Linked DNA regions of Diceros bicornis minor. The protein of the gene in region 4 purifies or fractionates together with the protein of the main gene of each other region. This does not show direct contact. Links are inferred from orthologs where the notes say so. Each region holds a gene or a part of one and is shown on either strand. Other genes may lie near its edges.

The links.
Region 1: the proteins of PHLPP1 (region 4) and USP1 purify together in Homo sapiens (affinity purification with mass spectrometry; 6 studies listed by BioGRID and IntAct, counting the BioPlex papers as one, with this or other methods). This does not show direct contact. The link is inferred for Diceros bicornis minor from reciprocal best matches to the Homo sapiens genes PHLPP1 and USP1.
Region 2: the proteins of PHLPP1 (region 4) and SUGT1 purify together in Homo sapiens (affinity purification with mass spectrometry; 5 studies listed by BioGRID and IntAct, with this or other methods). This does not show direct contact. The link is inferred for Diceros bicornis minor from reciprocal best matches to the Homo sapiens genes PHLPP1 and SUGT1.
Region 3: the proteins of PHLPP1 (region 4) and USP12 purify together in Homo sapiens (affinity purification with mass spectrometry; 4 studies listed by BioGRID and IntAct, with this or other methods). This does not show direct contact. The link is inferred for Diceros bicornis minor from reciprocal best matches to the Homo sapiens genes PHLPP1 and USP12.

The regions. Positions count from the first base shown.
Region 1 is NC_080743.1:1,996,177-2,004,123, forward strand, and holds the start of USP1 (ubiquitin carboxyl-terminal hydrolase 1), read left to right. Parts: upstream 1-4,938; 5' UTR 4,939-5,448; intron 5,449-6,537; exon of another isoform or gene 6,538-6,725; intron 6,726-7,085; 5' UTR 7,086-7,154; coding exon 7,155-7,324; intron 7,325-7,947. UniProt on the Homo sapiens protein: Negative regulator of DNA damage repair which specifically deubiquitinates monoubiquitinated FANCD2. Also involved in PCNA-mediated translesion synthesis (TLS) by deubiquitinating monoubiquitinated PCNA.
Region 2 is NC_080748.1:35,358,501-35,366,147, forward strand, and holds the start of SUGT1 (protein SGT1 homolog), read left to right. Parts: upstream 1-4,642; 5' UTR 4,643-4,718; coding exon 4,719-4,756; intron 4,757-4,847; coding exon 4,848-4,905; intron 4,906-7,647. UniProt on the Homo sapiens protein: May play a role in ubiquitination and subsequent proteasomal degradation of target proteins.
Region 3 is NC_080748.1:10,498,874-10,506,416, reverse strand, and holds the start of USP12 (ubiquitin carboxyl-terminal hydrolase 12), read left to right. Parts: upstream 1-4,535; 5' UTR 4,536-4,681; coding exon 4,682-4,729; intron 4,730-7,543. UniProt on the Homo sapiens protein: Deubiquitinating enzyme that plays various roles in the regulation of the immune response and inflammation.
Region 4 is NC_080755.1:53,316,422-53,323,811, forward strand, and holds the start of PHLPP1 (PH domain leucine-rich repeat-containing protein phosphatase 1), read left to right. Parts: upstream 1-4,374; 5' UTR 4,375-4,445; coding exon 4,446-5,979; intron 5,980-7,390. UniProt on the Homo sapiens protein: Protein phosphatase involved in regulation of Akt and PKC signaling.

The DNA.
Region 1 (7,947 bases), on a different chromosome or scaffold from region 4:
TGGTACATGCTGGCTAGGTCTTGCACCTTCTTTGGGGAATAGTCCTTGACCTCCATCATCAGGCACAGCACCTCCCAACTGGGTTATGCCATGACGTAACCCTAATTACAGGCCCAGTGGCCAGAAAGCTGGTGGAGGGGGTGTGGCTGCTAGGGGAGAGAACATGTTGCCTTCGTTAGAAGCCTCTGCACAATCTTCCAGCATGGGAAAGTGAAGCTCTTAGTGGGGAGGGGCGAGCCACACTGCAGGCATCCAAGGGGCCCGAGGAATCAAACTCTTCAGGAGCACCACCCAGATGTCCCCTCCATGTCTCAGAATGCTAGATCTTCTCAACCATGGCCCTCACTTTGGCACAAAAACCTGCCATTTGGGGCAGAGTGTCTTTCAACCACTCTGAAGCTCTGGTCTTGGTGCTCGGCGTTCTCCCTCTCCCTGCTGATGAGAGCTTCTGTGAGCGACAGAGGTGCTCTGGCTTTCACACCTGACCAGCAGTTGCCTATCACCCACCCTCAGCTGTTCATTATTCTTCTGTAACCAGTGGCGCTCAGCAATAGCCATCCAATTCTATTCCCTTATCGCTGTTACTGCCACACATCTCAAGAGCCTGATACATCACAACTCTAGTGTTCCCTCCCACCCGGCACACCATCTGAATCGGACCACCACCTCGTGCCAGGGGCTGTCGGTGCCTCACCTACAGCCAGCCAGGTGGCCCATAATCCAGCTCCCAGCTTATGCCCGCTTTCTCCAACCAACCCCGGTACCAGCTGTGGCAGGGAGGGTTTTCAGGAAGCAGACGCTGGAACAGAGCATACAAGATGAGGAAGGGAGAGGAAGCAGGACTGCGCAGAGAACGAAGTCAAATTCCAGCACAGGTCCAACAAGGCTTTGGCCGACTGCCCAGGAGCTCTGGAGTGAACACAGCATATCGGAGGCGCCCGGTGGCAGGCCAGAGCGGCTGAGCCTTTATATCCCAGGCTTGCTGAATCACCCGGTGTAGGCTTCCCTGGACAGGCATGACCTTGGGCAAGACCCTGAGGAGCTGACAGCTGGAGGCACACCCTGCAGCTTGGGAACAAGTCCTTCCCTGAAGGGTGATCTGGGCAGCACATCTCCATATCTGCTACTAGGGAAACAGAAATAGCCAGCACATTCTCTTTCCCAAAAAACCAAAAGACCTACTTAGTCCTTTTTTTATCTTCTGCTCCCCCAGCTAGGCAAATCTTTTAATCAGGTAAGGGGAAGCATAGCAGAGAATGCTATCTGCCCCCTAATATCCGTTCTATCTTTCTTCCTTGACGACCTCTAATTGGACATATGGGGACCCAGAATCAAGTTAACAGTCTGTTAACAAAATGACCTCGCTCTGACCCATGGGTTATAAGCAAGAATGGGGTTCACAACTTCCAGGAAGTATCCTTAAAGGGAGGCGGCGTGATCTTTTTCCTTTTCTCTTTCCTGCTTATTAGAATGTAGACATGATGGCTGGAACTTAAGCAGCCATACTGGACCATAAGGTAGAAGCTACTTGTTGAGAATGGAGGTAGTAATTAGGTCCCTGATGGTCACGGAATCACTATACTCATCTAGACTCCTATCTCTGCACTCTATGTGACAAATAAATGTTCATCTCGGCTAAGGACACTTAAAAAAATATTCTGCTTCTCATAAATCAACCTATTCCTATCTGATGCAGAACTTGATCCCTATAAATTTGTGCTGCATATAACACAACCTTAAAAGAAATGTGGTCGTGGCTTAGTGGAAGCATTTGGGCAGTGGGTGGTAAGGACTCAGATATGGCAAGATGGAAAACTGGTGACCCTTGTTGTCCAGCGGCAAGGTATTTGTGGCATGAAGGGAAATAATTGGAAAAATTTATAAACTTGGTATTTGGTGGCTTTTTCTTGCCACTTTTAGCAAAGTTCTATGAGAGATGAACTCAGGCCAGAGCTAGCTGATCTGCAAGTAAGGATGGAAAGGAATACAGCTTTGCTAAGAGGGGAACTCTGTCTGTAATCTAAGTGGATGAAGAATCCCATAATCTGGAGCCTTAAATGGCTGAAAAAACCCAGCTACTTCTACACCTCTAAATTGAAGCACGCAGAAACAGCATCTGTGAACAAAAGCCTTGGAAGGAAATACGCCTGACACGCAGCCACACACGGCTGAGAAATACGGAGTAAGAATGCTGCCAGCCTGTTAGACCCCTTGTGCAGACGCCCCCAAGTGAGCGGTCATCACGAGTGAGGTAGCAGCACACAGATGCCAGGAAATGAAAGGTCAGGTCTTTGGGCTTAAAGACTGTATTTGGTCAAGACTGTAGCCCTAACTTCCCCCACACAGAACTGAGCGAAAGCAAAGGATCAGAAACCTTTTAACTTTTTGCATGAATTACGTTGCCGGAGACACAGCAAGCCTGACATGCATCCCTGTGCTACCGCTGCTGCTGCGCCCAGCCGTGTGGAGCTGGTTATTTCTGAAGCAGCACAAGCAGGAGTCTCAGTGCCCCGCCACTGGGCCCGTGGCCCTGACAGGCAGGACGCAGCACACGCATCGTGCGGGTGTAGATCGCAGTGGGTGGAGCGTGCAGCTTTCTGACGGTCGTGGTTTCCTGGGCACTGCCGGAACAGCATAGTTCAGAAGTCATCATTTCCTGATCGCAGAAGGGTCACTGCTCCCTTGGTGGCCTCATTCCTGAAAATCGAATCTTAGGTCTATTTAATCCACATTCCTAACTAAGCATTCACTACTCTTCATGCCGATACCAAGGGAATGGTTTCTATTCTCTGTAACTGAACCTCAACTGACACTATAAATCGTACAGGAAGAATAGCAGCTGCAGACAACAGGATCTCAACTGAGACAGGAAAGCTAGAATAGGAAACTAGAATTGGTTACCTGTCCTGGCAGAGTCTGAAAACGGCAATGACTCTGCTAGGACTACAGAAGAAGACACTCCAGTCCGTGGTACACAATGGCAAACTCGGGGACTGACTATCATTATATTTCTAATTCTGCCCTTGTCTGTTTGGGGTATCAACACTGTACTGGTCTCAAAATAAGCTTTCTATTTTGCTCTCAAATAGGAATTATCAATCCCTTGAAAGTATGGTAAAAAAACGAGTTTTGAGCCTATTTTACCAAATGATAGCAGGATTTTCTCTTTAGGCAGCTTACAGATCGCTGTGCGTGTCATGGTGTGATCAGGAGCTTTATAAGTCTCACTCTTACAATGGGTATTTGGCATGGATATTGATTCTAAGATGGACAAATTAAGGAGCAGTTATTTGGATTTATGATTCGTGGCTTGACAAGGCAAGAGGTCTCAATGCCCTGCAGACTCTGGAGCATAAATATTATCACTCTACGTGATTTCTTACAGTCTCATGATTTTACACACCATTTCATGACTCCCCAATTTACATCCCCTGATCTAAATTCTCCACTGAGCTTGAAACTTGCTATCTCCTGGCTCCACGTCACTATTTGCATGTGAAATAGGCATCTCAATCTTAATGTCTAAAAACAACAGCCCCTCCCACCAAAGCCACGACTACCCCAGTGTTCCCCATTTTAGCAAGGACCAACTGCTACCCAGGTGCTTTGGTAAAAGAAAAAAAAATCCTTGTCATTTTTATCTTTTTTTCTACAATCCATCAGCAGGTCCTGTTGGGTCTATTTAAAACACATTCTGAATCCCACCAGTTTCCAACATTTCCCCTGCTGCCACCTCATTCCAAGCCACCATGATTTAGTCCGTGGGTGGCACTTTTTAAGGTCCACAGTCTACCCACCACAGCAGCCACTTGACAACTATCACTCTCTACCTCAAAGCCACCCAGGACTCCCATCTCTCTCCCCGCCGCATTCTCAACGGCACATTCTCACTCCTAGCTCACCGCGCCCCGTGCCCCGCGCACCTAGACCTCCTGCCCCAGTACGCGCACACCTAGACCCCCGTGCCCCCGAACCTAGACCCCGGGCCCCGGGACGCGCGCACCTAGACCTCCTGCCCCGGGACGCGCACACCTAGAACCCGTACCCTGGGCCCCGCGCACCTAGACCCCGGGCCCCGGGACGCGCGCACCTAGCTCACGGGAGCCCCAGCACCAGGCCTGCTCCTCCCAAAGCCGAGCGTCGAGCGTGAGGACGTGGCCGGACCATCCGCTCGGACGCCACGAGCCGCTGCGCTCCTGAGCCCCGCTCCGGTGCGCCCGGGGGAGCGGCGCGGCCTGGGGGACGCGGGTATCTGAGGGGGCGCGCTCCCCGCGCTCCGACGTGTGACCGCGGCCAAGCGCTGCCTGCACGCTCCGCCCCCGCGGGCGGCGGACGCACGCCCTCTCGCCGCGTCCCCGGCCTCGGGGACGCCCGGCCCCAGCGGGCGCCGCGAGCGCGGACCGGACGGCGCTCTGAGGAGAGCGGCCCCGGCGCCCATGTCCGCGCCGGCGGGGACGGGGACACGATGAGGGCGGAGGCGGGGGCCCCGCCCTGCGGTGCTCGGCCGGCAGCGTGCCCGTTTTTACGTGTGGCCCCGCGGCGCGAGCTCCTAGGAAAGCGCGAGCGCCCGGCGGCGTGCCGCCGTCCTCCCAGTCTCGCCCCGCAGCCCCGCCCACGAGCGGACGAGAAAGGGGCGGGGCCAACGGCGAAGGCCTCACCCGGAAGCGGGACTGAACGCCGGCAGCGAAAGCGCGCCCTCGAGCGCCAATGAGAGCTGGAAGAGGGGAAGCGCGCCCGTCCTTTCCCCTCTTGTTATTGGCTGGACTTCCTTCCCCGCCACCCAATTGGCTTCCGCCTCGTTACTTCTGATTGGCTCCTACCAGGCAGGGGGGCCGGGCTTGGGGGCTCGTCACCACGGATTGGTGGATTTGAGCGCCGGGCGGCTCCTCCCGAGCGAGCGGCCCGGCCCAGCGTGCCTCTGTCCCGTCTCCCGACCCGTACGCCGTCCTCGCCTCGCGCGCACGAATGGTTAAAGTGGAAGAAAAACAGCGCAGGGCGTGAGCTCGAGCCCGCCCGCACGGCCGGAGCGGCGGCGCGCCCTCGGAGGACCCGCGGCTGCCCGCGGCGCTGCCTGCGCGGCGCGGTGGCGCGGAGCCCGGGGGCGGCCGGGGGAGCGCGGCGTCCCCCTCGGCCCCGCCGTCCGCGCGTGCCCGGGGCGCGATTGGCGGGCGCGGGGCGGCCCCGGCGTCCGGCGTGGGCGCGGCGCGGGCGGCGGAGCCGGCGCGCGGGCAGGCCGCCCCTCGGGGCGCGGCGGGGGCGGCGGCGCGGGGTCCTGACGGAGGAAAACGCGCCAAGTTCCCGTCGGCGGGGCGCGGACCCGGGACCCGGCGGCGGCGGTGGCGGCCGGGATGTAGGCGGCCCGAGCGGCCTCCCGTGCGCACGGTGCGGCCGGCCTCCCGGTCGGGCTCCCCGCGGACCCCGCCGCGCACCTGCGTGGGCCGCGCCCAGGTGAGGGCCCGGGGTCCCCGGCGGGCGCTCGGGCGTCCCGGCCGGCGCTGCTCGCCGTCGCCGCGGCTGTCCTGGAAGTTCGCGGGACGCCACGTGTGGGCGCGCGCCGTGGGCCCCGGAGCGGGCTGTGCGGTAACGCCTCGGGCCGGGCGGCGCGGCCGAGGAGCCGCGGCGGGCGGGCGGGCGGGGCGGCGGGCCGTGCTGGGGCGGCCCCTGCTTCCGGGGAGCGGGGCGGCGAGGAGGGGCGGCGGCCGGCCGTCTGGGCTGCTGGGTCGCCCCCGCGTGCCCGTTCCGCTGCCGTCCGCGGACGACCCCGTTCCCGTCGTCGTGAGGCGGCCGCGCGCACGCTGGGCCCCGGCACCGCGGGCCGGGCCGCCGCCCGCACTCGCGGAGGGAGGGCGTCGGTCAGCGCGCCGCTGCCCCGAGCCGAGCCCGGGTCGCGCGTGCCCCGGGCGGCGGCCCTTCGGGCGGCTCTGCGTCCGCCGAGCTTGGGGCTCTGAGTGAGCCGCTGGTGAAACGCCGCTCGGCTCGTTGGCCCCGACTTCCTAACGGAAGAATAGCAGCGCGGTGTAGAATAACTACCGCCGAGACTGCCATTTTTTCCCTCCGTCCAGAAGTTTCTTACTCTAAAGCAGGAAAGAAAGGTTGCAACAGGCAAACTAAATTATCTTTTTCTCTATTCAAAGCAATATATTTTTTTAAATCTGTAGTTTAAAGAAATGTTTGGAAAATCAGTGTATTGTGGTTTCTAGTGCATATGCACAAAGTGCAGCAGTTTTTTACACCGCCATCCCAGCTGACGCTTTACTACTTTCCACTCAAGTTTTTAGGTACCACTGAACACCAGATCTGTGTCTTTTTTGTATGCAAGTTACACTTTGAAGTTTTTAGAGATTTCATTTCATGTATTCATATTATCAAGGAGGAAAGGTCTAGAAGGAGGACTTTCAGCACTCCTTTGATTTCCCATTCATTTGTCTGTCTCCACCTCCTACTTTATTATTTTTTGTGAGGAAGATCAGCCGTGAGCTCACATCCAATGCCAATCCTCCTCCTCTTTTTTTTTTGCTGAGGAAGACTGGCCCTGGGCTAACATCCGTGCCCATCTTCCTCCACTTTGTATGGGACGCTGCCACAGCATGGCCTGACAAGCGCTGTCTCTCTGTGCGCCTGGGATCTGAACCTGTGAACCCCCGGCCGCTGCAGCGGAGCACAAGAACTTAACTGCCTGCACCACCGGGCGGGCCCCTGCACCTCCTACTTTAGAATTAGCGATGGTACTTGCTTGTTAATATTTTCTGAATGAATTAATTATAATAAAAGTTGAGTTTTTACTAAATACTACTACTTTATTGCAGGTTTACAAAAATGGGGTATTTTGTGATGTGACCCTTAATCTAATAGGCTAATCAAAGTTCAGTATCTGATATTTTTTGTTGTTTAAGAAAGTTAAAGACAAAGGGCAAGCTCCTTCATTTAAGCAGTAAACATTGAGTGCCTATTACTGCCAGGCACTAAGTTTTCAAACATGAAGATCTAGTTAGTAACATTCGTTGGTAAATTTGTTTTCAATATTGATTTTTTTGCCTACAGCTGATAACTGAAAACTAATGAAAGGTCTTCTCTGTGATTAACAGATATGATTGTTGATTACAACATCCCTGCATAAATTAATTCTTGTCAACTCCTTGGGATTTGAAGAGAAGATGCCTGGTGTCATACCCAGTGAGAGTAATGGGCTTTCAAGAGGAAGTCCCTCAAAGAAAAACAGACTTTCCTTGAAGTTTTTTCAGAAAAAGGAAACTAAGAGAGCCTTGGATTTCACAGATTCTCAAGAAAATGAAGAAAAAGCTTCTGAATATAGAGGATCTGAAATGTATGTATCTAACTTTATTTCTGTACGTTTTAGACTCCGCATCAGTCAAGAAACCGTGGACTTGGATTGGTATCTCTAGACACTGACCTGATAGTCCACAGAGACAAGGAGAGAGCACACGCTAGTGTGACCGGTCTAGCAGTGTGCAGCAGAAACAGCAGAACTGTGCTTCCCCACGGGCATCTCACCCATGACGTGAACTCAGTTCCATTGGGCTCAGCCAGTTAGACTAACCTGGAGAAATATTTATTGACTAGAGTTACTTTTCAGTTTAAACTTGATTGTAGTGCAACACATTTTGTGTAAGGGTGAAGAAATAGGTGATGTTTTTTGGTTCAGAAGACTTGACAGTTACCTGAGATGTTTAAGCTTTGTAGTCATACCTAGTATATGAATTACCAGACCTGTTGGGGTGTACAATTGCAAATTATATTTAAAATAAAAATAAGAAATGCTTTTGATGCAAATAAATCCTTCGGTGACTGAAAAGAAGTCAGAACCAAACGGAGTTTTTTATGCCACCCATAGTTGGGTCTCTTTGGAGTTTCCACTAGCTGCCTGTTCAGCAGATAGGCACTCTGCTGTGCGACTCAAGTGGATGAGGTCCCACGTGTAATCTCCTA
Region 2 (7,647 bases), on a different chromosome or scaffold from region 4:
GCGATAGATCCATTTGAGAACTGATATCTTAACAATATTGACTCTTCTGATTCATGAACATAGAGTGCCATTCCATTTGTTTAGGTTTTCTTTAATTTCTCTCAGCAATGCTTTGTAATTTTCAATGTATACATTTTGCACATACTTTATCAGATTTATTTTTCAGTGTTTAATATTTTTGATGCTATTGTAAATGTCATGGTTTTTTAAATTTCAAATTCTGATTGTTGCTGATTTTGTTTTAAATTTTCCCCTTCCTATTTTATTGATGCATAAAGTGCACAAATCTTAAGTGTACAACTTGATAAAATTTTACATCTGAATACATTGGTCTAATTACCGCTCAGATCAAGATATGTAACGTTTCCCACATGCAAGAAAGCTCCGCATGGCCCTTCCCAGCCACATGATCACCCTCTGATGTCCCTCAAAATAGTTTTTTTATCTTTATATAAATGGAATCAATCAAAATATACTGTCTGGCTTCTTTAACTCAACATTTTCTTTGTAAGTTTCATCCATTTTTTTTTTCTTTTCCTTTTTTATTGTGGTAACATTGGTTTATAACTGTATAAATTTCAGGTGTACATCATTATACTTCTATTTCTGCACAGATTAGTTCGTCCATATTGTTGTGTGTACTGGTAGTTCTTTCTTAATCACTGCTCTGTAGTATCTTTCTCCTATGAAAGGACATTTAGGTTATTTCCAGTTTTTGCTACTGTGAATAATGCTGCAATCAATATTCTTGTATATGAACATAAGTACTCTTTTCTCTTGGGTACACATCCAATGGTAGAAGTATTGGGTAAGAGAGTATTTGTATGACTAGCTTTAACAGATAGTGTCAAAAAATTTTCTCAAGTAGTTATACCAATTTATACTTCCCCCAACAATATATGAAAGTTATAGGTTCTTGCTCCATATCCTTGCCAATGATTGGTAGTGGAATTCCTTTTAATTTAACCATTCTGGTGGGAGTGTTATGATTATGAATTATGATTTTAATATCCCTGTATAGCTATTGATGTAGAATTTCTTTTCAGATGCATATTGGCCATTTGGAGAACATTAACATATTAAAGAAAAAATAAATATGAATATTTCACTAAATAAAGAAAAAGCATTTCATATTGTTTTCTCCTGATGTTACAACCAAGACAGGAAGTCCATTATCATTACTTCTATTCAACACTATAGTAGACATCCTAGCCAGTGACAGACAGCAAGAAAAAGAAAGAAAAGGTATAATCATTGCACAGGAATACATTAAACCATCTTTATTCAGATGACAAAATTGTGATCATAGAAATTCTAAAAGAATCTACAAAGTATTAGAAATAAGGGAATTCAGCAAGATGGCTGAATATAAGGTCAATATGTAAAAATCAGTAGTGTTTCTATATACTAGCAACAAACAAGTAGAGTATAAAAATTTTTAAATGTCGTTTAAAATAGCATAAAAAAATTAAATACCCAAGAATAGATCTAATGAAAGATATGTAAGACCTCTACAGTGCAATCTACAAAACACTGCTGAAAGAAATTAAAGACCACTTAAATAAATGGAGGAGTGTATAATATTCATGGATTGGAGGACTCAATATTAAGACGTCAGTTTTCCCCAAATAGATCTTTTTTTTGTGAGAAAGATCAGCCCTGAGCTAACATCCATGCTAATCCTCCTTTTTTTTGCTGAGGAAGACCAGCTCTGAGCTAACATCTATTGCCAATTCTCCTCCTTTTTTTTCCCCAAAGCCCCAGTAGATAGTTGTATGTCATAGTTGCACATTCTTCTAGTTGCTGTATGTGGGACTGGCCTCAGCATGGCTGGATAAGCGGTGCGTTGGTGTGCGCCCAGGATCCGAACCCAGGCCGCCAGTAGCGGAGCGCGTGCACTTAACCGCTAAGCCATGGGGCCGGCCTCCCCAAATAGATCTATAGATCCAATGCAAGCCTGATTAAAATCTTGGCAGGGTTTTGTTTTTTTGTTGGAAATTGACAAGCTCATTCTAAAACTTATAAATTGAAATAAATTTTATAAAATGTATAAAATATTGAAAATGCAAAACACTTAGAATAGCCAAGGCACTCGTGAAGAAGTTACAGGACTTGGGGCCAGCCGGTGGTGTAGCGGTTAAGTTCGTGCACTGCGCTTGGGTGGCCCAGGGTTCATAGGTTCAGAGCCTGGGCGTGGACCTATGCACCGCTCATCAAGCCATGCTGCTTATACAAAATAGGGGAAGATTGGCACAGATGTTAGCTCAGTGACAATCTTCCTCAAGCAAAAAGAGGAGGATTGGCAACAGATGTTAGCTCAGGGCCAATCTTCCTCACAAAAACAAACAAAAAGTTACAGGACTTCAAGACTCATTATAAAGCTATGTTAATTAAGACAGTATGGTACCGTTACAAGGTTAGACACAGACCAGTGGAGTGAGAACCTGGAAATAGACCCACATATATGTGGTCACCTACTTTACAACAAAGGAGCCATAAGAATTTATGGGAGGAAATGATAAATCAAAGACTTTGCCAACACCATTCCTGGCCATGGAGGCATCATGGATCGCTTTGACTGCCAGTATCTGATGGCCACCTTTGTCAATGTGTACATCGCCAGTTTTATCAGGGGCCCGAATCCGAGCAAGCTGATTCAGCAGTTCCTGACCTTGCTGCCAGATCAGCAGCTCCACATCTTCAACACGCTTAAGTCTCACCTAACCGACAAGGGGATGTTGATGGCCGCCACGGAGGATGAATGGGGGCCACGCAGGGTCGGGAGAGCAGGAGCAGGACCCAGCGAGGGGCAGGGCTCCAAGGCAAGCCCAGCTGTGTGACGTAGACAATGACAAGGCTTCAACTCACTGTCTTTTTTTTCCCCAATAAGTAGGGCTGGGTCAACTGCATATCCATACAGAGGAAAAATGAACCTTGATCCCAACCTCATACTTTCACAAAAATTAATTTGAGATAAATCACAGACCTGGAGTTGAAAGATAAAATAATAAAGCATCTAGGAGAAAATACGTAAGAATATCTTCATGGCCTTCGAATAGGCAAAGCCTCATTATAAATGATACAAAAAGCACTGATCATTAAAAAACAAAGGATCAGCAAACCCAGATACTTTTACTTCAAATATTTCTGTAATTCTTACCTTCCTCTGTATCCCTGACCTATTTAAGAGAGTCACTTTGGCCTGTAATACAGCCGTTGTCTCTCAACAACTACTCTCCTTTTCCCTTTAATCATTCTTCCATAGCACAGAGAGAATAATATACTTAAAAAATGCAAATTTGACTTATTGCCTTTGGTGATTAAAAATCCTTTAATGGGTTAGCATAACTCAGAGAATAACATCCAAGCTTCTCAGCAGACCAGACCACACCTAGCCCTTTATGACGTGGCATTTACCTACCTCTCCAGCCAGTCTGCTTCCAATATGAATTTTGGCTCTACCAATTTTAGAGTTCCCATTATCGTTTTCTAACTCACACCCTGTTCTGCCTGCAATGCCTTTTCCATTTCCTTCACTAATTCTAGTTCATCCTTCCAGGCTGAGGCTCAGGTATCATATCTTTGAGGAATTCATCCCTATACCTTATATTGGGCTAATTTAGCAAGGGGTACCCTCCTTGCCATCACGTGACTATTCCCCTTTTTTCATTTTAGCAGTTAGAACTGGTTTAAGTTTCTGGAGGGCATTAACCTCTTTGAATCCCTGGGCTTAGTTTAGATTTTGGACATAGCAGACACTCAAGTTCATTTACTTGTTTATCTCTACTGACCGAGCCGCTTACTCCCACTCCCTTCTGTTCTTCCACGTCCGTCCCAGGGAATCTGCTGGAAGCTTCTATTTGATCTGCATGGATAAAAGGGCGGTGAAGGAGGGCCTGACCGACTAGGTTGGAAAGGAAAGCAGCACTCAGACAACTTCAGGCCACCTTCCTCCCTTCAGCGCCTTGGGATGGTACAGGTTTTTCTTTTCTATCTGGGAAGTCAACTGGGAAGCAAAATCAGTCCATCTGGTCCTGTGGCGTTCTGGGCAATAAAACAGTACACCCGCCCCGGAACCAAAAGGCTTCCTTCTGGCTAGTTTCTGCAAAGGCAAAATGACTTCCGGCGAGTCCTAGTCCCTTATGGGTCCCAGCGCAAAGATCCCGGATCGGCGCGCAATCCGCAACTGTGCTCCCGCAAAAGAATACGTAGCAGCGAATGACGTCACGGGTCACGAAAGGCTTGGCTGCCTCTGGTCGCCATGATGTGCACTGTGGTGAAAATGGAGCTCTACGTGCCTTGTGCTATTAGCTGGCACACAAACGCACCAAACGCCACACGTTCCAGAGGGATAACAATACGTTCCAAATGCGCTTTTGAGCTATTCCCTCGGAAGGCTCTGTGGGAGGGCGGACGCGCGAAGAGGAGGGAACGTGAACAGCGGAGGCCTCCGTAACCATGGCTGCGAGGGGCGGGAACTGGGAGCGCTGGTCACGAGACCGGGGGCCGGGCCGGGAGACTTGGTCCTCCACCGTCCCAGCCGGCCCCGCGCCTGCTTTTCGCCTCCCCTTCCGCCGCGGTACACTGTGTGGCTGCTCGTTGGCTGCTTAGGACGGAAGCGCGGTTGGTGTTTCTCCAGAAGTTTCCTCCTTGGGCGGCGACGAAGCTGTTAACCTCTGTAGTAGCAGCTCCAGCTGCAGTACCCGTGAGTGTTAGGGATGGCGGCGGCTGCAGCAGGACCTGCAACAGCCCAGAGGTGCGTGCTTTTTCTTCTCTTTGCTGTGTATTTTTATCCCCTTTTTCTCCTCGGCTAGTGAGCCGTGCTGAAGTCGTTGTTTTCCTGGCAGGTTTTTCCGGAGCTTCTCAGATGCTCTGATCGACGAGGACCCCCAGGCGGCGTTAGAGGTGAGAGAGCCGGTCTGAGCTTCCTCCACCCTCCTTAGGGGAACGCGGCCGCGACGGGTTCTGGCCGACCCCGCCTCTTCCCAGCGTTGCCTTTCTGGGACTCGGGCTGCCGTTTTCCCTGTGTCTCAGCCCTAATATTGACAGCCTCCGCCTCTCCTTTCTCTGACCCACAGTGGCCCCGTTACCCTAGATCCCTCTTCTTGTCCCCTCTTACTCCTAGACCCTTCCTGCATCCTTGCAGCTTCTTAGAAAGACCTCTGTTTCTTGGGGGCATAGTTGACATCCATAGTTGGCCTGAAAGGGTTTTTCTTTTTTTTTAAATGGCATTTGTGACGACGAAAAAGTGAAATCTAGGCTTGATGATACTTGTTAATTCGGTTTTTCATTTGACCATCGTTCTTGCCATTCTCACGTACAGGTGCTGTGCTAAGTGCCTGTGTGAACTCAGACTACTGGAACAAAAACCTTTTCCCGTATGTCCCTGAAAAGTTCCAGATGTCCTGTCACTATTCATTACGCACTCATTTGTTTATTCATCGAAACAATATTTTGGAAGTTGCTGTGTGCAAGGCACTGATTGCTATGGATTAGAATCTCCTTTATGTATTTAATTGACTTACACAGTACTTTGTGTGCAGTGAAAGGCTGTAGAGCTGTAAAGGAAAGTATAAGAGCAAGAGTAAAATACTAATTAAAAGTAATAAAGAGAATCTAAACTGAGGATACATGATGCAGTGGGTCACAAGATGTAGCCAGAGGTTTCTTGCTTTGAAGCACAGAAAAGAGGAAACCTTGTTTCCTTGTTACAATCTAATATAGGCAAGGTTAGCAATTTGAGTTAGAGAACCATTTTCCTAGTTATGACTTCTAAAAGAAATTTGCCACGTGGGTAGTAGAGTCTCTCTGAGGAGGTGACATTTGAGCAGAGACATGAGGGAATGAGTTCGGAAGCTCTGGGGAAAGAGCATTTCAGGCAGAAAGAAGAGCCAGTGCAAAGATCCTGAGGTAGGAATGAAGTTGGCTTGTACAAGGAGCAGCAAAAAGGCACATTTAACTAGAGTGGGATGAAAGAGGAGTAATGGATGAGGTGTGGAGGAAACCAGGGGCTAGGTCCCGTAGGGCCTTTTAGGTCAGTGTGTTTTTTGGATCTGGGTATTTAGGCCTTCAGTTAAAGTCGTTGGTTAGTCAGTTGTGCTGTGATGTTTCCTAGTGAGGCTTCTGGGATCAGTGTTAGAATAATGTTACAGGAGGCACTGAGAATTTCTTCACAATTCTTTTTTTTTTTTAATAATTTTATTTATTTAGTTATTTGTTCCCCCAAAGCCCCAGTAGATAGTTGTATGTCACAGGTGCACATCCTTCTAGTTGCTGTATGTGGGAAGTGGCCTCAGCATGGCCGGAGAAGCGGTGCGTCGGAGCGCGCCCGGGATCCGAACCCCGGGCCGCCAGCAGCGGAGCGCGCGCACTTAACTGCTAAGCCACGGGGCCAGCCCTCTCCACAATTCTTTACGTCAGCTAGACAGCTATTAGTTTTCAGGATCTATGTTTGTTATGGTCCTTTTAGGCCCAATTCCTCTTTTGAAAATACAGTTTATATGAAAGTTGCTTTTAAAGGATATTAATGTAATGAATTTCATTGTTACTTTCCATCTCACTTATTTTACTTTTTAAATTTGTTTTTTGAAGTATGATAGATGTAAATAACACAAATCTTAAGTCTGCAACTAATGAAGTTGTAGTTTTACATACGTGTTTACCACCCAGCTGGATATAGAACACTTCCATCCTCAGAGCTTCCTCTTGCCTCTTCCCAGCCAATAATTCCCCTTACCCACCAGGTGACCCCTATTCTGGCCTCCATCACCATCTGTTAGTTTTGCTTGTTATTGAACTTCATATAAACAGAATCATAAACTAGGTACTTAGTTGAGTGTGGGTACTCTGTCTTGCTCTAAACATTATGTGAGGTACATCCATATTATTGTGTGAAATGGTAGTTCTGTTACTATATAGTATTCCATTTTATAAATATAGCACTATTCTAGTAATGGATATTTGGGTTATTTTTAGTTATTAGCTAGTATGAATAAAGCCACTGTGAATTTTCTCATGTATTTTGGTGAACACATGCACTCCTTTCTTTTGGGTGTATATAACTAGGAGTGAAATTGCATAGAGTAGGAATGTGGTTAGCTTCTGTACCTTGGTTCTTAAAGTGTGGCTCTTGGACCAGTAGTATCAGCATCACCTGGGGACTCATTAGAAATGCAAATTCTTGGACACCACCCCCGGCTCCCCCCTCCACCTCCACCACCACCCCCCCCGCCCTCCCCCCCGCCCCGTCTACTGAAAGTCCTTATGACTCCTGTAGTCCAGTACTCCTTACCCATCTGTTTTACAGAAGAAAACAGACCCCAAGAAATCCAGGTGATCTGTCATAGAGATGTATACTGCCAGTTAGAGGCAGAATGGGAGCCTTAGGTCACACGTTTCCTGACTCTTAGTCTAGTACTGTGGAACAGTGGTTCTCAAAAGTGCAGTCCCCATACCAGCTGCAGCAGCATCATCTGGGAACTTGTTAGAAATGCAAATTCTCAGGACCCACTGCAGACCTGAATCAGAAACTGGTGGTGTGGAGGATGATCATGATAAGAAGCAGCTGTGTTGAGGAAATGTTCTTTTTAAAACTTGAGATGACCTTCTCAGAAAGATGAACAGGTAAATGTTAATTACTAAATAATT
Region 3 (7,543 bases), on a different chromosome or scaffold from region 4:
GACCAGAATGGATCATGCTTGTATCCAAGGTTGTCCGTGCGTTCTACACTTTATGTCTCTCTCTCTCTGTTCTCTTCTTTTCACAGAAGAAAGGGGTGGCTAATGATAGCATCTGAAAAGGTGTCCCCTTCTCAAGTTAAGCTCAGCAACTTCTGAACTTGTTCCAAACAGCTGAATGATTGCATCCTCCTCCCCAGCAAGTGGGTAGTCTCCTCTAGTCAGACCTTGCTAAATAAAGAGCTAAGTACACATAGAAAGTATTCTGGCTTACTTCGGCACTCACCAGAAGTCAAGGTTTTCTCCCCAGTTATAGACCTGTTAGTTTGATGTCTCCTTGAAATTCTCTGCCATGTTTAGTCTGAACAAATTGCAGGACTGGGAATCCAAATTAAGATTATGAAGAACGAGGAACAGGTTTTAAGGTAGGCTGATACTACCATTTATTAGTGATGGGGATATGACAGTAGAGATCCCAGAGACCATGAGCTTTGCTGGTGTCACTGTGGGTCACAATGCCCCCTTAACATTCCACACTCTTCTCCAAACTCCCTGCAACATGCCTGTGCTGCAGCCTTAGACATATTCCAGGCTTCCTCAGTGTCTGTGCGTGACTTTCCCTCTGCCCCAGAGACCACTGCCTTCCCCTCCCCCATCACTGTTCATCCTATTCTTCCAGTTGGTGAAGCTGCCCTCAGCTTGTCCCCCCTGCAGGTAGAGCTAGTCCCACCCCACTTAGAGCTGACAGCAGTTGGTCCTTCATTTTATCAGCTCATTTTCCATAAAAATCATCTGTCTACCCCAATGGACTGTGTGCTCCCTGAGGGCAAAGATTTTTCTTATTCATCAGTAGGTGATCAACAGATACTTGTTTTAATGAACGAACTCAGATTTCAGTTTTAAACAGAGTATAATATGGCTATGCCTTTGGTCCTTCTCTTTTAAACCTAGATTTAAATAATGACAAAGTTTTAGATATATTAGCTATACACCATCCTCCCCAGCAAATCAAAGTCATACATCCATTGTGCAGATGACTCGACTATCCTCTGAACGGGAAGTCAGCCTTGAAAAGTCAATCACTGGTCTGTTGATTCAAACCAACAGAAGAACATCACTGTGTTGATTAACATCTACCTCTGGACAGCTGGATGATGTTAATTAAAGCCACCAAGAAGGTTGGTTCATTCAGCTGTCAAAGGGCAGGGGAAAGAAGGGGAGAGATCATGAGTTTCACAGTCAGAGTGTGTGAGTGTGGACCGTGCTCTGCACAGGCTGAGCAGCGTCATGGTGAAAGTGGTAAAATGAGCATGGATGATGGAGCTCCAGGGGCACTGGAAGGTTACATTAGAGAACGCATCTGAAGTACTAATTAGGTGCCTGGCACACAGCAGAGGCTCATTCAATCTGAGGGCATAAACTGACAGCCTGAGGGCTGTGTTTGCCCACTCTGACTTTAAAACTGTTGACTTTGGCCATTCAGAGCTCTCCAGTTTGTGTTGAGTGATGGGCACTATTCTAAACACACCTCCATGTTTTATCCTCGTTACACCCCTCTGAGGTAGACATAATCATTACCTTTATTTTCCAGATGAGGAAACTGAGACAAAGAAATACTATTTGAGTATATTTTATAGCTAAAATCTGCATGTGGGTCCCTAAGGAGTCAGTGCCTCTCAACCTCATCCCACTAGAATCAAAATGAGGTACTTGAACACGAGCTGGTATAGCAGAGTGGATGCAAGTGTGGCCTCTGGAGCTAGGTTCAAATCCTGGTTCCATCGCTTACTAGTTGTGCAACCTTGGGTAAGTTATCTCTGTGCCTTTTCTCACCTAGAAAATGGGGAAATACGTCACTGGGTTGTTATGAGGACTTCATAAAATGCTTGGTGCACAGACAAGTCCTCAATAAGCACTACCTGTCATTATGGATGTCTTACGCCCCCGCCCCACACTCCCCCCAACCCCCACAACACAGGCATTTCAGTCATTTCTGTTAGCTGGTACAAAACCGAATTCCTTCAGGGAGAAGAGAGGTGGCAGAAACACAAGAAGTGACGTGTGGTTAACGGGAGACAGGATGAGTAACAGAAAACATGAAGCGGCCTGCGAGGAACTGGACAGTACAGGATTGTGTAAAAGTATTCAAATGAATCAATTTTAAAACAGTAGGCTGACCGAATGGATTAAGCTTGGCCCCAGTTTGTTTACTTCCTCAGTCCATGAAGTTATCTGAGTATATTTTGTAGTTTACCCACTCAGGAAGGCCCAAAAGAAGTCAGTTGTACACAAACCCATCTTTCCCTAGGCACAATGAAGTTCTTTGTAAAACTGATACAGTTGCAGGTAAAAGCTGTGTTCTAAGCCCAGATGACCTATTCCCAGCTCTGGGTGCAAAATGTGGTGTTGCAGCCAAACCTTATCTTCAACTGCATTACATATGGTAAAACCCCCAGTACAGTGCCCAGCACACAGAGGAATCTCTCTTACGCTCATGCCTCTTCAGTCAACCTTAGGCTCAGGACACGAGGCATTGTGAGGTTCTGCAATTAGGATCTCACCTGCAAAGTTAGACAGCTATAACACCAACTAGACACAATTCCAGATAATTCTATTAGAAATCCATTTTAAATAGGACTCATTCTTCTATAAACTTATGTGTGAAGCTGGTGGCCTCTGTTCCTGTGACTTTTTAGGATTCACAGACAAGGAGGCATGTTGGTGGGCAGCATAGACGGAGGCAGGGCTCAAATTCTGGCACATTAGACCTGTTTGCTGGAACAGAATAGCAAGTGGGGAGGACAGGATGACAACAGACATTTATCCAAGTAGGTGAGACAGATAGGATCCAGGGCCGTGGTGACACTGGTATGGGGCCCAGGCAGGCTCTGGAGATCTAAGCAGGATGGAACACAGCAAGAAAGAACTCAGGTGGGTGATACTTCTAAGTCTAGGGAGGGCAACAGGGAGGCAAGCACTCCATACAGCTGAATGTGTGGCAGTGAAGCACATGGTCCTAGCCACCCGCTTGGGTATCAGGGCAAAGAGGGAGGGCCCCAGCTTCCGTGGAGGCAGGTGCCTGGAGAACCAGGACAGCTGCTCTGGGACTTGGCTATATTCTATTTGCAATTTTTTTCCCCAAGCAAGCTTATAATGGAAATCACTATGGAAACAGCATTCATGTACCAGAAATCTATTTTTCACCTAAATTTTATTTGAATGCTGTGTTTTGTTTTTTGAATGCTTTGAATCTGTGAGGTAAGGCATATCTGATTTTGGAGCTTTGTCTGAATTCAGGCCCTCAGCCCCACTGAAATGGTGGAACTCCAAAAAGCACCCCATCATTACAGTTCACCAATTGAGAAATACCACAAGCTTTCTAACATAATAATTTATAAAGTTATTCTACTAGCTTGAACGACTTTCTCAAACAGGAAGAAATCAAGCTAAGCTGCCTGACACAAAGAGCAGGGTGCAATGAAGAATTTTACAAACCTCGAAAAGAGGGGCTATCCCACTAGCTAACACTGGGTTAAGACTTTCTCACAGTACGTTTTTCTCACTTGCGAGACTTCTTGTCTCTGGTAATATCATCGTCACTGCTGAGTGCAAATCTTCCCTATTTTGCAACTCAACTTTAAGAACAAATATACTTAGATACTCTATTTATAAACATTTTCTAAATTTATGGCCAAAAGGCAGGCGGGAAGGCAGCTTCGTCCCTCTGCTCCATTACTTACCTTTCTTCTTAATTCAAAGAGCTAAACATACATAGTTTCTTATCTCTTTCATTTTTATTCTATTAATTTGACTTTCGCCGTTATGGTGTTTTGACCCAGGTGATTCACCCAACATATGTAAACAGAAACCACTTTACATTTTAAGTGTTTGGGACATTGCATTACCCGGGTTATTTTAACCTATTTTAACCATATAGAAGCAGGTTTCTTTCCACCGCTCCCAGAATTATCCAGACCATGGTCTCCGTTTTCGTTTCGAAGTGGGGACTAGCTGTCCCCGCGCCTTCGGCAGAGGCTGCGGGTCAGTCCCTTCCAGCATTGAACCAGACGGCTGCCGCCTACCCTGCAGCGACTGGAGCCTCCCCCGGGGCCCCTCTCGCAGCCAGGGCTGAGTCGGCCCACGGGCTCTAGGACCGCGAGGGACGCGGGCAGGAGGCGGCGCCCGCCGAGCCCCCGCCCCGCTCGAGCTCGGAGTGGGGCGGGCGCCGGAGTTTCCCGGCTCGCGCGCTCCAGGGCCGGGGCGGCGTGCGCAGGGGTGGGCGGGGCCGCGGGGCCGCGCGGCCGGTGGGCGGGGCGCGCCGCGGGGCCGCGCCGCTGCCGGGCAGGCCGGGCATTAGGGCCCCGGCGGAGCCCGCTCCCCAGCGCGCTGGGCGGAGTGTGCGGCGGGCGGCTTCGCGGGCAGGCGCGGGCCCCGAGGCAGCGGCTGCGCCCTGCGCCGGGGAGGAGCCAGGGGCGGGCGGCCGGCAGGCGGGGGCTGGGGCCCGGGGCGGGGAGTGCCGGAGCGCCGGGGGTGACGACGGCAGCGGCGGCAGAGCAGGCTCGGTGCGCGGGTCCGCGGCGGCTCGGGGTCCGCCCGCGGGCTGCGGTGCGAGCGGGCGGCCCGGCTCCCCTCCTCCCCCGCCCGCTGCCGCCGCTGTGATTGGGTGGAAGATGGCGCTGGGCGGATGGAAATCCTAATGACAGTCTCCAAATTCGCCTCCATCTGTACCATGGTAGGTGCGTCGGGAGGGCGGCCGGGGACGGCCGGGACCCCCGCGGGCGGGCGGCCGGCCGGCCCGGCGGCGCAGCCCGGGTCTCCGCCCGTCCGCCGGGCCGCCCGCGGGGCCTAGCGCGGGGCCCCGCGGCCCGGGCGGGGGGCGGCGAGGCGGGCGGGGGCGGTTGGACGGCGGCGGGCGGGCGGGGAGCGCGGGGGATGAGCGGCCCCGGGAAGGGGCCAGGCGTAGGCGAGCCGGCGCGGCGCGAGGGTGACTAGCGAGGGGGTGGCCGTGCTGGACGTGGCGGGGGCGGGCACGGGGCCAGCGCCCCCGGCCGAGCGGAGAGGCGCGGCGCCCGGGGGCTGGAGCGCGGCCCGGGCTGGGGTCGGAGGGGGAAGGACGCGGGCGGCGCGCTGTCCATTTCCGTCCGGCGGTGCGCCAGGCGGGAGGGGTCCCTGGGCCGGGATGGGGGCTGCCGGCCGGAGGCAGGGTCTCGTTCCTGCCCAGGAGAGGACGGAAGTCAAGTGCACATTTTCTCCCCGCGCCTCTGGCGAGGCCGAGTCCCCCACCCGCTGCTGAGGGGAAGGGGGTGTGTGTGAAGGTGGAAACTTTAAATAAGTGCTGTTGAAATTTTTCCCATCTTCTACTCTTTCTCAGAGGAACGAGCTCTCCCTTTTCCAGCCATGTGTCCAGGTGGCAGTCTTGTCTTTGGGAATCCACGTTAATCTTGTAAAACAGCTTAAGCTTTCCTGTCGTTTGTTTACTTTAATACCCCAGCCACATCTCTGTGTGGCTTAAAGTATTTCTGTGCAGGAACTGACTGCGAGGGTTATTGTGTGTGTTTTATTGGGGCTTTTAAATAGACTTTAAGGGAAAAGTGCTAATGCCTGTCGAAAAGTTCCGATTTAAGCAAAACGTGCGTGCGTTTCAATCTTGGTGTTTTTGTGCTTGGCCGGAAGGACCACAGTCTTCCACACGATGGGGCAAATTCGTTTCGTTAGCTCCTTAATGAGCTTACGTCTAGGGATCATAATTATGAGCCGTCACAGAAGAAAGTTATCCTTTGCAACGTGGGCCTAGTGATTATGCTATTAAAGACTTCTGAAATCTTTCCTTCTGTTTTATGTCTTACTAGCCCTTTTTATGCACCCGATTGCATGTAGGAGATCCCCAAGCAATCTTCGGTTTAAGGGCGGTACATTTTATGTATCTTTATATGCGTATATATACATTTATATACCTATATATACATTTTATATACTTTAAGGAGTGGTGAATCAGATCGGAAAGATGGTTTAGAAGCAAATTCTGTACTGCACGCAGAGGGACAGTATAAAAAATGGCTGAAATCAGGTGGGGTTAAAATCTACAGTATTAAATCATATTGAATGGATCATTGAAGACTTCCATTTTCCCAAATGGATGTTTGTTTTTTTTCTCACAATTTGCATTTCAGGAAAGCATTGATATTAAAGGGACTATATTAAAAAGATTGCCAAGGTTCATTTGGATTATTTTTAGATAAGCCAATTATTAATCTGTTTTAAAAGGAATGTGATAATTAAGTCTTTGAAAGTGCTGATCTTGCCAGATTGCTGAGCTGCACAGATTGTCAGGTCATAGTTCACTGTGGGAGTCTGGGGTTTCAGGAGTGATGTGTCGTTCTTTACTGACCAGTCTTCCACTCCAGTATGTCAGGTATACTTTTAGCACCTACTGAGTGCTAGAGCCTGTGCTGAGGATACAGCAGAGATCAGGACAGCCCTTGCTTTCATGGTGTGTACATTCTAGTTGAGGGAGACAAACAATATTCAAGTAAACTTATTAATAAATATAATATGTGCTGTGATCAGATTAGGAAAATGAGGCACAGAGAGATTTGCTAAGTCAGACACTGAGTAAGTGGGGTTCTGATCTCGAGAGTGTCGGACTCCAAAGCTCTTCCTTGGGCTTCCACTCAGGTGCGTTAATTGTATGTGGTGTGTGTGTATTGTTGGCAAATACAGAAATATCTGCCTGGCCAAATGAGATTGTTCCAGAAGTAGTGTTAAAATTGGGTGTGTCTATATTCATATTCAAATAAATTCTAATGTGCTCCCAAAATAATGCTAAACATCTCAAAGTAATGTGCAGTCTTTTCTTTCAAGAAAACTGCAGCTCATCTGAGAATTACAAAATTAACAATCAAGAAAAGCAAAGATATTTACCTCCAAGCCTTGGTAGATGCTATTTTTCTAGGCTGTGAGCGCCCCCCTCACCCTTGTCTGGCGAGTTCATGCCTCTGTCTCAAGCAGGGAGACTGACCTGAATAATCCCACCCTGTCCATCCCCATCTTCCACCCCCCTCATAGAATTTCACAGCATTTTTGTAATTTTGGTAGCTCTTAATCATACTTACTGTGTTGTAAATTTTTCTCTTATCGCCTTATTGGATTCTGAAGGCATTAAGGGGAATGACTATCGTTTATTTCTGCGGTTTGGTGGAGCACTAACTACTGCATACAATAACAGAGTTTCCCAGAGTTCTTCATTCTCCTCCTGGCTATCTGAGGGAAGTGAGTTTGGTTAAGCATGGATGAGATGGAGTGGAGAGGAGAGAAGAGGGCTGAGCCTAAATAGAGTGATGCTTCTCAGAGAATCAGCAGCTGTGAAAGCGTGGATGATGAATTGGAATTAATCAAGTTTACATAATTTTTTTTCATTTGTCAACGTAAGGTACGTGGGCAAATCAGCGATATCTTTATTGGGTTGAGTAACTCTGTTCAAGGCAAATCTCTTCAGATATGTCTTATTCTAGATCACTGTTGTTCTGCTTACGTGTGAAAATTAGTA
Region 4 (7,390 bases):
CTTAGAAGAGGTATTTTTGTCTATACTATTTACTGGGTGTAAACGGTGCCTATGCATAAAAGTTCAATAAATACCTGTTAAATGAATGTCCCTGGTAATTTACATTGTTACCAGAAATGGTGGGATTACATGGTCTCTATTTCTTGGTTTAATACTTTATTGTCGTGACATAGAATACATCTATTTATTTCTGTGAGACAGGATGTGACAAACAAGAAAAAGACAAAGAATTATGGGATTAAAAAGTGTGCACTAAAATATGAAAAGCTATCAAGCCGTATCTATAAAGCAGACTACCTAAAATGATAGTGGCAATCTAAGTTCTTGATGGAGTTCAAATGATAAGTTATGTGAGGGAGGGGTAAGGCTTTAGAGAGCCCAGAAGGTCTCATCCTGCAGTGAGCAGGGAACATATGAATTCAGTTTGGCCACCTGGGGCCCATTTAGTACACTAGAGCAGTAATTTGCTAAATGAGTCCCTCCTAGTAAAAAAGCATGAGTAAATAGTGAGCAATTTAGGCATGGTAAACCACTAGTAGCTCAAGGGATACAAAAATGTGAAACTATAATTAGATTCCTTGTTCATAATGTACTAACTAAATGTATTACATTGTATATTGCATCTTTCTGAGTTTATTTCTGGACACAGCTGAGCCCTTAATAATTCAGACTGAAACCATCCCAGCTATCAATTTATGTCTCCATTAAAATTCCGACTGCTTATATTAGAAAAAAATTCCAAAGATAGTTTCTTTTATCTTGGATCTAAGGACGAAAACAGGATTAACCTAGATGCAAAACACAGCAAGTCAGTTATAAATCACACAGCATAAAATAAACTGTGGCAGTAAATTGAAAATGATGTTCTCTTTTTCTATACTTAGCTGTGAAAATATTTTAACAAGTTGGCATCAGGGTTTGCAACTTTTACATCTGTTGTTTCTTTTCAGGATTATCTTTTAGCATTTTAAGATGTGATTCTTTGGAAAGCCTGGCTAGTCAGAAATGTGGTATTAGATTGTACATTTGGAACACTTCAAAGGGTGGGGGCATTCATGAGCTAGTTACATGGTTTCGGGATACTAGCCTATTCCTCACCCTACTTTTAAGTAGGAGAAGCTGCTGTTTCATGAGTGTCTGGAAAACATTTGTCCTCTACTGAAATCCTTTCTTAGTCAGAGAAGTTGTATAGTGGGTTGACTCAGATGGTCTGGATGATGTTCCACAATACTAGCAAGTTCTTAGTACAAGTTTCACTGGCCTTATCAATATCTGTTATTTCAACTACAAGGTTCCAGTTGATGTGGTGTTAAGGGGACTAGCCTATTCTTGACGAACTCTCATTTTCTTTCTCTCTCTCCTCTCACGCCCAAGTTTAGTAATTTCATTAAAGATTTGAAGATGGAGCAAGGGATGATCTCACAGTGGACCCTTGCTTTTCTGCTCTCCTCTCAACTCTGATTTTTATTATTCTGGATACAATGGAATATGGAGTCTTTCAGATTATGGACACTACGCATGAAATAGTTTCTCTATGCAGAAATTATATTCTACTTTCTTGCCTACCCCCCGCCCCCCAACACACTGTCCTTTGAGGCTGGAATGTATTTCATTTTTCTTCATGTTGAGATACTTTACCATTATTAATTATTTCTCTCCTCCTCCCAACTTAGAAATCCCCCGTACCAAGTCTGACAGGTGTGTATGATGACTCCCCAACCCCTCCCCCCTCCAATACTTCGGGTACTAAGTTCTCTGAGCAATGCTTTTTCTTTAATTTTTTTCCCCTTTGGAGGAGGTGTTTTGGTTACAGATACCTTCAAAGAGTAAACAAAATTCCTAGAGGATAAACAGGCAGAGTCATGGTGACTGTGTAAAGCTAAATGACAGGAACCAGGGCTAGATTAAGTACAGGAGTATAATTTCTTAGAGAGGATGCAAATGGACATTGGGCCAATGGTGACAGTATTTATGATTAAGAACAAACTTTCCTTGAGTTTGTTACATTAGCTAAAGAAATATAACTCTAGAAAGCAGATATTTGGGAGTCAATATATGTTTCTTAACATAGCAAAAATTAAAGAGGTTTGTAGGAAATCAATTAAGGAACTAACAAATACAAAGAGATATAAACAGCCCATGTTTTAGTACCGAAATCTAACATGCTCTTTGTTTTTTAATCTTATTAAAGGAAGGCTAAATTAAAATACCATTCTTTTCATTTCTAAAACTAATAGTTTGTTTAGGGGCCACTCAAGGCAACATACGGATTAGCGTAGTTGAAATTTATCTTTAATATCTTACCTCTTTCTCTGCCTCTTTGCTTTCTTTCAGAGACCAATTCTTCATCAAGTACTCAGTTTCATTCCTTCCAGAAAACTTCATCCAAAGTTAGGTCTCTGTTGTCTGACTTCCTAGGCTAGGTCAGTTCCCCTTGTTTTATTTTTGTCTCTGTCCATGGCACCTTCTATTTTCCCCTCCCCTACATCCCTCTCACTTGTTGAATGTCTTTCTTCCTAATCTATAAACTCTATGAAGGCAAGGACAGTGTCTGATTTATTCAACTGTTGTAACATGGTGACTGGTATATAAAATGTTTATAATTATTTGTTAAATTAATTGACTCGACTATCGTATCTCTCTTGAGAGAATTTGCATTCTCCCGAATTTAAAAAATAGAACTTTGTGCTGTTGATGGAATTGAGATGGAATAAAAATTAATTTCATGAGGCCAAGAAGTAGGGCTTCAAAAAAAAATATACAAAATCATTTTCAGAAATTTCAAGAATCAAGAGAAATATTTATTTTTTTGTCCTACCAGCTACCTCCAATTCCTCTTCAATGAAACTATGTAGATAACCTAAGTATGACTTGCCTTGCCTTTATCAATTTCTATTTCAGTTACAAGCTCCACTTTATCTCTCTGTCTTTCTCTCTCCTTCCTTTCTTCCCTCTCTCTCTTTTTCCCTTTCTCCCCCACTCACTCCCAAGTTTAGGAACTTTAAGTTAAGACAGGCCCTGGATAGTATGCAGTTGAAAAATTTCACATTTCAACAAGTCGAGGTAATGGTAATTCAATGAAAAAGGCTTATTAAATTCTTTTAAATAGTAAACTACCCTAGTCTAGCCTACAATATTGTTTTAACTGACAAGAAAGAGCGACTTTTCAGACCACAACGAAACATTGTAGCAGAAAATAATTTTTTTCTGAAACAAAACACAAGGGAAGACCTAAAAGAGAACAGACAGGACCAGGCCATCTCATATCCCACCATGTCTCCATTCCAACGTATCTTCCACTTTCCACTGCTTTCCGTGTCATTAAGTTACTTCAAACTTTAAGATCAATGGGAAAAATGCCATCCCAGCCCTTTGCCTTTTTCCTTCTCCGATATGAGGGAGAGGATTGGCTCGGGGTTGCACGATTTCCACCAAGCATATTCAACAGTGGTCCAAGTCAGAATTTCCAGACACTGCCTGTCTTCCCAGGCCTTAAAAAAGTGGGGGAAAGGTGAGGTTGGTCCGCTTCGACGGCCAGTTATCCCGCGGTGCGCTGTCTGTGTATTTATCTCTCATACAATGGGTCGGGGTAAGGACCAAAGACTGGAGACCTTTGTATCGCTTACAGTCCCTCAAAGCACTCGCTTTCAATTACCAGGAAAAACGAAAGTCTTCTGGGGAGGGGGAGTGGGCGAGTTGGTTACAAGTTAATGAACAAGAACATTCCCGGGCACAGAGTTCAACAGCAGAGGGCACAGTACACACTGTCCACCGCCATCGGCTGGATGCAAGGAGGGGCGTAACCTAAGGATCTCTGGGGCTTGTAGTTCCCCGTCTTTCCCTCAGGCATGCCCTCTGCGCACTAGAACTACAACTCCCAAGGTGGACCGCGCGCACCTCTCTTCTCTGTCGCCCCCTCTCTGAGGCCCGTTCAGGAACCTCCCGGGAAACTGCCCCGCGCCCCTCCCTCGTACGCACGCGTAACGTTTGTTTACCCTGAAGTCCCGCCTCCTCGCGTCCTCCGGCTCTTCCCACTCCTCCCTGGAATGCCGTCATGCTCGCGATGCATATTCATGAGGCCTGCGTGGAGCTCCGCCCCGCCTGCCTCCCGCTTTCCCGCTCCCAGCACGTGATTAATATTCAATAAGCCCAGCTTCGCGGCTGGTTCGCCGGGGTGAGGTGGGGGGAGCGGGCGGGGCCTGCGCTCGGGAGCCCGCGACCGGGGCGGCGAGGCCGGCGGGCGGGCGCGCGGGATGGAACACCGAGACACCGACGGAATGCTCCGAATTGCCACATAATCCCCTGGAACGGCCGCGCCGAACGCCATTGGCTTCTCCCTTCTCCCCGCGCCGCCGCCGCCGCCGCCGTCTCCCACCTTCGCCTCTCCGCCGCCCTCTCCGCCCGCTGCCTCCGGAGCTGGGGGGGAAACGCGAAGCCCCACTGCAATGGAGCCCGCCGCCGCGGCGACGGCGCAGCGACTCCCGGAGCCCAGCGGGGAGGACCGGGCTCCGGCTCCGGCGGCGACCGCAGCGGCCGCGGCGGCTCTGGCGGCGGCGGCTCTGGCGGCGGCGGCCGGCGGCGGCCGGAGCCCGGAGCCCGCGCTGACCCCGGCGGCCCCGAGCGGCGGGGCGAGGGAAGAGGCCCCCGGCGAGGCGCAGCCGGGGCCGCTGCCGGGCAGGGCGGGAGGCGCGGGGCGCAGGAGGCGGCGCGGCGCGCCCCAGCCCACCGCCGGCGGGGCTGCCCCGGGGCCGGGGGCCGGCGGCGGCGCCAACTCCCTCCTGCTGAGGAGGGGGCGGCTGAAGAGGAATCTGTCCGTGGCCGCCGCCGCCTCGTCGTCGTCGTCCTCGTCGTCGTCGTCCTCGGCCGCCTCGCACTCCCCGGGCGCCGCCGGCCTGTCCGCCTCCTGCTCGGCCTCGGCGTCGCTGTGCACCCGGAGCCTGGACAGGAAGACGCTGCTCCTGAAGCACCGGCAGATGCTGCAGCTGCAGCCGTCGGACCGGGACTGGGTGAGGCACCAGCTCCGGCGGGGCTGCGTGCACGTCTTCGACCGTCACATGGCCTCGACCTACCTGCGCCCGGTGCTCTGCACGCTGGACACCACGGCCGGCGAGGTGGCCGCCCGCCTGCTCCAGCTGGGCCACAAAGGCGGCGGCGTGGTGAAGGTGCTGGGCGCCGAGCCGCGCCCCGACGCCGGCCCTCGGCTGGCGCCCGCCGAGCCGCGGGACTTGGGGCCACCGCCCGGGCGGAGCGGGCTGCCTGCTGTCGGGGGCCCGCCGCGCGCGCCTCCCGCCGACCTGCCGCTGCCCGGCGGCCGCCCGGCCGGGTGGACGCGCGGAGCCTCCCACGCCAGCCCCGCGCCCTCGGACTCCAGCCCCGGCGAGCCGGGCACCCCGCGGGCCTTGGACGGCGCGGCCGCGGGCCCGGCCTCGGACACCGAGAGCTTCAGCCTTAGCCCCAGCGCCGAGAGCGTGTCCGACCAGCTGGACCCCTACAGCAGCGGCGGCGGCTCCTCGTCGTCGTCCGAGGAGCTTGAGGCCGACCCCGCCCCGGCCCCGATGGGGTCTCCGGTCCAGCCCCGCCTGCCCGGCCGCTCCGTGCAGCCCCGGCCCGGAGCGGGCGCCCGGCCGCCTTCCCCGACGGCCTCCCCGCCGCCGCCGCAGCCGAAAGCCCCGAGGGGTGTTGACGGCCCCGCCGGGACCGCCCGCGATCGGCCTCGGGAGGAGAAGGCGACAGCAGCTGCAGCCCCTGGCCGCTCCCCGTCGACCCCGGGTGGGACAGGGGCCACCGCAGAGAAGGCGCCGCCGCCGCCTACCCTCTATGTGCAGCTCCACGGAGAGACCACCCGGCGCCTGGAGGCGGACGAGAAGCCATTGCAGATCCAAAATGACTACCTCTTCCAGCTGGGGTTTGGGGAGCTGTGGAGGGTGCAGGAGGAAGGCATGGACTCGGAGATCGGCTGCCTCATCCGCTTCTATGCAGGTAAGGAGCTCCCCTGCGCCTTGGGGGGTGGGTGTCAACACTCAGGTCCCCAGAAATGAGGCAAATTGGCCGTCTGGTGGCCCAACCCAAGAGTAAGCGCAGGTCCTCCGGAGTCTTTGTTACTTTTGTACAGCTTTCGCGTAGAGTCTGTGCAATACTAAGTTGAGCAATTTTAGAATCCGCGAGTTGTGTCAATCTTGAGGGCTCAGAGGTTGGGAAGTGAGGTGAAGGAGGTGGCAGAAGCACCAGGAAGTAGGGGAAGCATAGACTGGAAGAGGCAGTGGTCCATTCAACAATGAAGGTGCTGCCTTTGGGCCGGTCCTCATGGGCATGTTGGGTTTGAGGCAGTCTGGGATTTTCAGGTAACCTACCATGTTCACATAGTACCGACAGAGGGAAATGACCAACAAAAACGCCCTACAACTGTCTCCCTACATTGGCCTGTCCCCAGTTGCTATTCCAGCTGTAACATACCCCCCCCCCAGCAGCTCGTTCCTTGTCACCCGGTGCCCTCGTTCAGCTCTCTGTCAGTCTTATTTGCCCGTTTAGTCCTCGTTAGAAACCTAACAAATATGATCCTTTTTAGTGATACTTTTCCCCAGCTCTTTTTTGCTTTATTTCAATCTCCTCTGCAAGTTTCATTCTTGCATTGAAAGTGATTTTGCCTATTTCTTTCTCATTTCTTATTTTCAGCCTTTATAGCCAGAACTGACCATTGCAATGTGACTAGGAATAGGGATCACACTAAGACTTTAAGTGGTTACTGTCTCTTGAGATGTGAAGTCCTTCTCATTCTTTTTTCAGTTCTAGATTAAAATCCTTTTTTGTTTTTCTGTTATTTATTTATTCCAGCTTTATTGAGATATAGTTGACATAGATCAAATTCTTGACTAGAGGTGACTTGGCAGATACTAAATTAGGGAGCTATAGAAGCTGGTTGTTATATTTGAGCGTTATAAATTGTTTGCATCCTTTTCCTGCTCTGGTTTGAAGAATTATCTTCTTAATGATAAGGAATTTTATTTAAAATGAAGTTAGTATAGCAAAATTAAATCAGACGAGTTATATCTTCTCCAGCTTTACTATTCTAGGTTGTAGGTGATGGTGGAAAAATAATCATACTTGTTACTTCATTAATCTGTAGCTATTCCTTCTAATTTAATATGTTTTTGGTACAACTTGTGTCTTACTGGCAGTTTAGTCAGTTTGAATGAAGAAATCTTTACTCTCACAATGAAATATGCAAGACCAGTAGAATTCCTGGTGAGATGTTCTTTTAAGTTTCATTGAAGTTTTTCTGTAATTCAAGTGGATTTCTGGTGGATTTTTACCTTGTAAAGAAAACTGTATCATAATACGATAGCTTTTGCAGTATCTGAAGATAATGTACCAACTGAATGACATGACTTTA